2 linked regions of the Neurospora crassa OR74A genome follow. The protein of the gene in region 2 purifies or fractionates together with the protein of the main gene of each other region. This does not show direct contact. Links are inferred from orthologs where the notes say so. Each region holds a gene or a part of one and is shown on either strand. Other genes may lie near its edges.

Evidence for each region. Proteins that work in one complex are often made in the same cells at the same time.
Region 1: the proteins of arg-3 (region 2) and arg-2 purify together in Saccharomyces cerevisiae (affinity purification with mass spectrometry, with the first as the bait; 3 studies listed by BioGRID). This does not show direct contact. The link is inferred for Neurospora crassa OR74A from reciprocal best matches to the Saccharomyces cerevisiae genes CPA2 and CPA1.

Annotation. Positions count from the first base shown.
Region 1 is NC_026504.1:2,059,947-2,063,926, reverse strand, and holds arg-2 (carbamoyl-phosphate synthase small subunit), read right to left. Parts: upstream 2,810-3,980; 5' UTR 2,579-2,809; intron 2,212-2,578; 5' UTR 2,199-2,211; exon of another isoform or gene 2,123-2,198; 5' UTR 2,031-2,122; coding exon 1,851-2,030; intron 1,795-1,850; coding exon 613-1,794; 3' UTR 201-612; downstream 1-200. UniProt on the Saccharomyces cerevisiae protein: Small subunit of the arginine-specific carbamoyl phosphate synthase (CPSase).
Region 2 is NC_026501.1:3,168,794-3,173,035, forward strand, and holds the start of arg-3 (carbamoyl-phosphate synthase large subunit), read left to right. Parts: upstream 1-1,441; 5' UTR 1,442-2,044; coding exon 2,045-2,384; intron 2,385-2,482; coding exon 2,483-4,242. UniProt on the Saccharomyces cerevisiae protein: Large subunit of the arginine-specific carbamoyl phosphate synthase (CPSase).

The DNA of each region.
Region 1 (3,980 bases), on a different chromosome or scaffold from region 2:
AAAAGAAGCATTAGTATAAAAGCATTCCACTTGTTCGTATATGATTTTGGAGTCGTATCCGACGAAGAATAACTACTTTCTGTTCTAAGATACCTGCCATCTACTAAGACGACGCTGATTTGTTTGATAATAGTTTGAAATCAAGACCAGGGAAAACCAGGTGTCACAGAACCAGAGGCTGCCCTGCTTACCAGTCAATGACACCATGTTCCCCGGCAACCAGTGCTTATACAGCACGCTGTCAACATAACCCCTGAATGTTGAAGGGCACCGAATTAGGGGAGGTACTGGACTGGAAGACATACGGCAATCACCAGGAATGGGTAAAATACAACGACTGGAAGACGTTTAGACGTGATAGCACATGGGTATGTATCAACTAGATATTGTCCTCTCTGCGCCATATCAGCCTAATGCCGACTAAACTTATCTGATTCTGCATTCAAAAGTAGTAACAAAAGATATCATATACACCCTAAACCATTAATAACGAGAGGACGTCGCCCAAGAAAGTCCCTTTTACAAAACCCATATCCTTTGTGCTGGAAAACAATAACCCAAGACCAATGACAAACACCGTTCACTAAGAAAATGCAAAGACATTCTCGTCGCTTAAGCAGCGTTAGAAAGAGGAGTGGGCTCAACGCCGACACGCTCCTTGCTGAGAATGTCAATCATGAACTGAGTAGGCCTGTTGTCACGGTAGACCTGGGAGTTGCTCTTGAAAAGCTCGACATTCTCCATGTACTTGTCAAAGAGGTAGGAAGAGTCCATGGGACCACCCTTAGCCTCGGGGTGGAACTGGGTAGAGAAGATGGGGCGGGTCTTGTGCATCATACCCTCGTTGGAGCCGTCGTTAAGGTTGACGAAATACTCCTTGAAGTCGCTAGGGAGGGTGCTGATATCGACGGCGTAACCGTGGTTCTGCGAGGTGATGTGGCACTGACCAGTGGTCAAGTCAAGAGCCGGGATGTTGTGGGCACGGTTACCATACTTGAGCTTGATGGTCTTGGCACCAACAGCGAGAGCAAGAAGCTGGTGACCAAGGCAGATACCCATGATGGGAATAGGGGAAGTCTCCATAAGCTTGGCGAGGTTGTAAACAGTCTCCTGGCAGTGGGTGGGATCACCAGGGCCGTTGGAAATGAAGACACCATCGAAGTTCTCGGCAACCTTGTGGATGGGGTAATTGTAGGGGAAGACGGTGACGGAGGCGCCACGGCTGACCAAGCTACGAAGGATGTTCTCCTTGACACCGCAGTCGATCAGAGCGACGTGGAACTTGGCGTTGGGGTTGGTAACCACAAAGGGAGCCTTGGTGGACACGCGCTTGACAAGGTTGATCTGGCCAGGGTCAATGAAGCCCTCATCCTCATCGGCGTCGTACTCGTCGCCAATGGAGATCCTGGCGAGAGAGGAACCCTGCTCACGGAGGTAGGTGACAATCGCACGAGTGTCAACACCGGAGATGGCGGGAATGCCCTCGCTGGCGCACCACTCGCCCAAGCTCTGAACAGCAGTCCAGTGGCTGTACTGGGTAGCGACATCGGAGACAACGATACCGGCGCACTGGATGTGGGGAGACTCGAAGTACTTGAGGAGGTTGAACTCGTCACGCTCATTCGAAGGGACACCGTAGTTGCCAATCAAGGGCTGGGTGAAGACCAAAATCTGGCCGCGGTACGAGGGATCGGTCATCGACTCGGGGTAACCAACAAGGGAGGTGGTGAAAACGGCTTCACCAGAAATGTTGGTGTTGGCACCGAAGGCGGTACCCTGGAAAACGGGGCCATCCTGAGCGAGAAAATGTTAGGTTTAGCCACGAGAGAAGACTAGTTGTAGGTACGCACCCTGATAGTGAAGGTGGCCTCGGCGCCGGTGGCAGCGGCAGTAGTGCGCGGCTCACGGGCGGGCATGTTCCTGCCCTTGCTGCCGGTAATGGCGGGCTGGCTCAGGTTGCGAACCTGACGGGCGGCGACGCCATTGAGGGCAGAAGCCTTGGGGAGACGAGCGGCCAAGCGAGAGAACATCTTGACTTGAATGGTGATGGGGTGCGGTGGTGATTGGTACGGCTGCTGGGTGATGAGAGGCTCTTATGCGTTAAGGGCTCTCCACAGATGGTCTGTAACACACAAAATTCATCGTCAGTATTCCAGCCGGAAAAGGGTGAGTCAACGGGAGTCGGCGGGGATGCGGACCTGAGAGGTAATCCTACAAAGGCAACAGAATTAGTTTTGATCAGACACTACAAACAGACGGCAAGCGGCAGAAGCGAGGAGAAGAAGTCTCCCCCAGGATGGCTGTCTGCGCGATCTTGAGAGATATGCAATCGGAATCCGTGAAGAGCTGAACTTTGGGGATCACCGCTGGCCACATCTCCCAAAACCAACTCAGAGCGGCATGATGCCAAGCACCCAGGTTGGTGGGTTACTGGCGGGTCGTCCCAACTACTCCGATACAGCATCGCGAGTCAGGCTGGTATGGGGGCTTCATTGCTCATCCGGGGGAACTTCTTTGATGGACTGGGTGGATGGTGGCTGGATACCAGCACGATGGAGGGGCTATCGCGTTATCGTACCTGAGAGGTGAAGACTGACGGGCGCCCGTTCATAAGGGCAGATTGCGACAAGACAAGTTCAGCTGAAGAAAGAAGGTTGGACGAAAGAGTCCGAAAGTCGGGGGAAGCGATTGGGGTTATTGTGTGTTTTGTAGATGGGCAAGAGTTGATGACGGAGTGAGTTGTAGTGTCGAGGGGAGAAACTTGGAGATAAAAGAGGGTGCGAAAGTGGGTGAGGCAAATAGAAAAAGGGCGACATTTGATTGGATCTGGTAGAATTTTTTGAGCTCTTTGTCTTTTTTCTGCCGCAGTGACAGGGTCAGCGCCGACCTGATTGGTCCAGGACTCGGTGACTCCCGCTGCTAGCGAGTCCCAAAGGCCGATTTACGGGGACCGAGGGGTGATTGATCGCGGCGTTGGGATGACTGGGGACCTGGACTTCGTTGGGACGCTGCAAGTTCCACATGCCCTTTGACCATCACGGTTACCACCCCTACTAGTCCCGGAGCCTCACAACTGGAATCACCCATCCGGTGTTCAACATACCTACTATGTACTACGTACACTACACATCGCAACCTATGCCCACAACCCCAGCCACGACATTCACAAACAACGCGACTCCAGCTCGGCATCTCCTGCCCGGGGCACCCCCAACGAATCTCGGAGTTGGAGTGGTCGGGTCCCGCAAAGCCCCCGCAAAGTCCCCGCCTACCTACCGCCGCAGATAAAGATGGTGGATACCCCGCGCTTTCGGTGACTCAAGTTGCGGGGACTTGTACAGTCGCGATTCGCCTCGCTTTCAAGCTTCTGAAGCTCCAAACCCAGGTTGCGCCAGAGCCGGCCGTCGTAATCGGCTGCACGGACAACGGAGGCCGCACGCTGACAGAAGAGGGAACAATCAAATATAGCGTCTGGATCCAGCATATACTCTCGGCGACAGCACACCAATTGAAGAGAGACATCGTCACCACCTTGTCAAGCCACGTAAGTAGCATTTTTGCGGTAGTGGTACCTTACAGCAGCCGAGCACCAATACGTGGGGGATAACAGGCTCCCACACGTCACATTGCATTTGATACATCGCGTAGCATCTGGATGTTGGGCATTACCATTTCAGACGGATTCAGCTTACTCGACCGAGTACGCAATATCAAAGCAGAGACCACCAGGACACCTGGCGAGGTTTTCATCATTGAAAACCGCAAGACAGGACAAGACACAAAACATAGCTCTTCGTACTGTTGCGCTTAACGCGACACATCTTGCGACGAAGTTGGTGCCAATGTGGCCGGCTCAAGCCTCTTTCATCTCAACCGGCCAGCTTGTCGTAGAAGCATGCATGAATAAACTGAAGCTCCAGGCCCCGGGCCGTCACGGTCCCCATGAGACATTGTGACGCCCTTACCGGCTATCAGAAGAG
Region 2 (4,242 bases):
AGGGACCACAACAGCGAAGGGGAGGGTTGGAGGGGATGCACGCAGCGGCCTGTGCTCATTGGCATGCCAAGACCGACCAGCTGGCTGAGTTCCGGTCCCCGCTGTCGGCCGGGCTTGGGCCGGTGCCGTGGCTTTCGTTCGCCGGAATCCACGCACTTGAGCCCGGAAGCCGCGGGCGGAGGAGGACGGGCCTGGACTCCCATGGTGCAACCGTGAACCTGAGTGGGGGTTACCCCCGCTCCATCAGAGCCCCGGCCTGGGCGCTTGGGGTGACAGACTTGACATCATGGGTGTCTCCAGAAAGGGGAATGTGAAATTTGGTTTGGAGATGGACATTCGCAGTCGATGTCCAGTTTTGTATCTGAGTCACAGCTCAGGATGGACAGTACATAGTGTTCTTCCAATGAGAGGTCTCGACTTACACAAGTGGAAGCTCAAGGGTCTGCCAGGAACCACACTTCCAAACTCCATGTGCGCCCATCCCCCATGTTCATTCACGGCGTGAGTGAAGAAGGAATAAGCTTGCGGATTCTGGAATACTAGTAGTACACCATAGGCCCCCGAAGTACTGTGAGATCATAGGATGGGGTGAGTAATTTGACTTGTGAGCTAGCAGAGCTGATATTAGTGTAGTAAGGTTCCAGTGCTACAGCCGTCGAAACCCGGTCCATGAGTCAAAGTCGCAGGCGGCTTTACTGGCATTGGGAATACAGCGAAGGATCTGAGCTCTTTCGGGAGCAGGCGGATTTGAGCTCTTTCGGGAGCTGGCCGAGGAGAAAATGTCAAGAGGTCAGCATCGGCGAGGCGCTTCGAATTGACTCAGCCGCATGGACACGTCAAAAGCGAGAGATTGATTTTGAAGATCACCAACAAGACCGGCATCGAGGCGTCAACTATCGCCGAATAGACTGGGGCCGCGATGACTCAGCCAATCATGAAACGCGTGAATTTCCTCTCCCCGCCAAAAAGTCGCAGCTCGAAGGGCAATTGGCCAATAACATGTCAGTTACGGCCAATTCAGCCAGTTTCACCGCCAAGGTACATAGTAGTCAAAAATTTGGCGGGGTTTGGGCGTCCAAAAGACAAACCAAACTCGGAGGTTGGAGGTCGTGGGTACCTACTAACCATTGACTCGGTACTAGCCGTCTCCAGTGCCGTCCCGGGAGCTTGTGCCTGTTTTGGGGCCATGGCGTGCATGAGCGAACATCGGACAAACGCTCAACCGACTTCAGATGACACATAGAGCCTGGGGAATAGTAGTGATGTTGTTAGATAGACCGCGCCCGACATGTTGTTATTTTGGCAGGCAAAGTGGCTAGGTAACGAGAAAGTCTCAAGTCTGCCACAAGACACTGATCTAGGATCGCCAGTAGGTGAGCTTAAAATCGGATAAGAATGGGAGGGGGATCTGGCAAGATGCGATGACTGCCCATGCGAGCATCGCAGATCCATGTACATATGCCAGTCAGGTCCCGCACTTCTCGACCGCAGAGGATTCCGGGTCCGCTTCCGTTGTCGGAAGCTACCCAAGCTGGCCCGCGGCCTATCTTGAAAATTTTCCAACAATCCGTCGTCACTTGTTCCCAACCCGCCAGTGCCCGCCATTGCCCCCGGCAAAGGGTGGCGGATGCGCAGAAGAGCGACTCCATTCAGGGCCTCATCGTCGATTGTTCTGTTTGGTGAAAGAGCAAAAGAGTCACAGCCGCCCACCAACAAATCTGGAACCCACCCTGCCGCCGGCCCCGCACATCTCTTATCGGCGCTCCCCACAGCGGCCGGTTTTGGGAATTATTTGTCTCTCTTGTCCCTCTTTCCGTCCAACTTCTCCAGTTTCTTCTCCACTGAAATTAAAAGCGCGAAATTCCGAAAACACGGACGGGAGACTCGAGATTGAGTCAACTGGTCAGGATCCGGGGTCAACAGCTACGTCGTTGTCAGGACTTGTTTGTTGATATACAAGACATCGGCCCCCCGAGACCCTCACGAGGCCTTTCTTGGTCTTTCTTTAATTTTCTTCCACAAACACCTCCCTCCATTGGACATAATGCTGTCGACCGTGCACAAGGCTGGCCGAGCTCCTGCTCTCCTCCGCCATGGTCGGCGGGTTCCCGTCCAGGCGTCCCAATTGAGGGCTCTCACCTCCGGCGCCCAGAATACCTCCATCTTCCAGACACAGGCCAACGCCGCCCAGAGGCTGTCCTCCCAGAAGAGGTGGCTCTCTGCCTCCGCTGCCGCGGCTGCTGCCAGCCAGCCCGCCCCCGACGCGAAGGCTTATATCCAGAGCGGCGTTGTCAAGCCCCGCGACCATGTCGACGTCAAGAAGGTGCTTGTCATCGGCTCCGGTGGTCTTGCCATTGGCCAGGCCGGCGAGTTTGACTACTCCGGTACGTCTAATGTCTTGTCGACTCAGTGAAACCAGACACAAAACAAACAAACAAATAAACAAACAAACAGCAGTGCTGACTCTACTCTACCCATCCAGGTTCTCAGGCGCTCAAGGCCCTTAAGGAGGCCGGCGTTGCTTCCGTGTTGATCAACCCCAACATCGCTACCATCCAGACCAACCATTCCCTCGCCGATGAGGTCTACTACCTCCCCGTCACCCCCGAGTATGTCGAGTATGTCATCCAGAGGGAGAAGCCCGATGGTATCTTCCTGTCCTTCGGTGGTCAGACCGCTCTCAACTTGGGTGTCCAGATGCAGAAGCTTGGCCTCTTCGAGAAGTACGGTGTCAAGGTTCTCGGTACCAGTGTCAGGACACTGGAGCTTTCTGAGGACAGAGATCTCTTCGCCAAGGCCCTTGAGGAGATCAACATCCCCATTGCCAAGTCCTTCGCTGTGAACACCGTCGACGAGGCCCTCGACGCTGCCAACAAGATTGGCTACCCTATCATCGTCCGCGCTGCCTACGCCCTTGGTGGTCTCGGTTCCGGTTTCGCCAACAACGAGGAGGAGCTCCGCAACATGGCTGCTCGCTCCCTCACCCTCTCCCCCCAGATCTTGGTCGAGAAGTCTCTCAAGGGCTGGAAGGAAGTTGAGTACGAGGTCGTTCGTGATGCCAACAACAACTGCATTACTGTGTGCAATATGGAGAACTTCGACCCTCTCGGTATCCACACTGGTGACTCTATCGTTGTTGCTCCTTCCCAGACCCTCAGCGACGAGGAGTATCACATGCTCCGTTCCGCTGCCATCAAGATCGTCCGTCACTTGGGCGTCGTTGGTGAATGCAACGTCCAGTACGCTCTTCAGCCCGATGGCTTGGACTACCGTGTCATTGAGGTCAACGCCCGTCTCTCCCGCTCGTCTGCCCTCGCCTCCAAGGCTACCGGCTACCCCCTGGCTTACACTGCCGCCAAGATCGGTCTCGGCCACAGCCTTCCCGAGCTCCCCAACGCTGTCACCAAGACCACCACCGCCAACTTCGAGCCTTCTCTTGACTACATCGTTACCAAGATTCCCAGGTGGGATCTGTCCAAGTTCCAGCACGTTAAGCGCGATATCGGCTCTGCCATGAAGTCAGTTGGTGAAGTTATGGCTATCGGCCGTACCTTCGAGGAGTCTTTCCAGAAGGCTATCCGCCAGGTTGACCCCCGCTTCGTCGGTTTCCAGGGTGACAAGTTCGAGGATCTCGATTTCGAGCTCCAGAACCCTACTGACCGCCGTTGGTTGGCTGTCGGTCAGGCCATGCTCCATGAGAACTACTCCGTTGACAGGGTCCACGAGCTCTCCAAGATCGACAAGTGGTTCCTCTACAAGCTCCAGAACATCGTCGACTGCCAGAAGGAGATGCAACAGCTTGGCAGCCTCGAGGCCCTCAAGAAGGAGCACATCCTCAAGGCCAAGAAGCTCGGTTTCTCCGATAAGCAGATCGCCATGGCCGTCAACAGCACCGAGGATCTTGTCCGCGCTGCCAGAAAGGGGTTCGGTATTAGGCCCTGGGTTAAGAAGATTGATACTCTGGCCGCCGAGTTCCCTGCCGACACCAACTACCTCTACACCACTTACAACGCCTCTTCCCACGACGTCACCTTCGAGGACAAGGGTACTGTCATTCTCGGCAGCGGTGTCTACCGTATCGGTTCCTCGGTCGAGTTCGATTGGTGCGCTGTCAGCGCCACTCAGGCCCTGAGGGCTATGGGCGAGAAGACTGTCATGATTAACTACAACCCCGAGACCTACTCGACCGATTTCGATACCGCTGATAAGCTTTACTTCGAGGAGCTTAGCTACGAGCGTGTC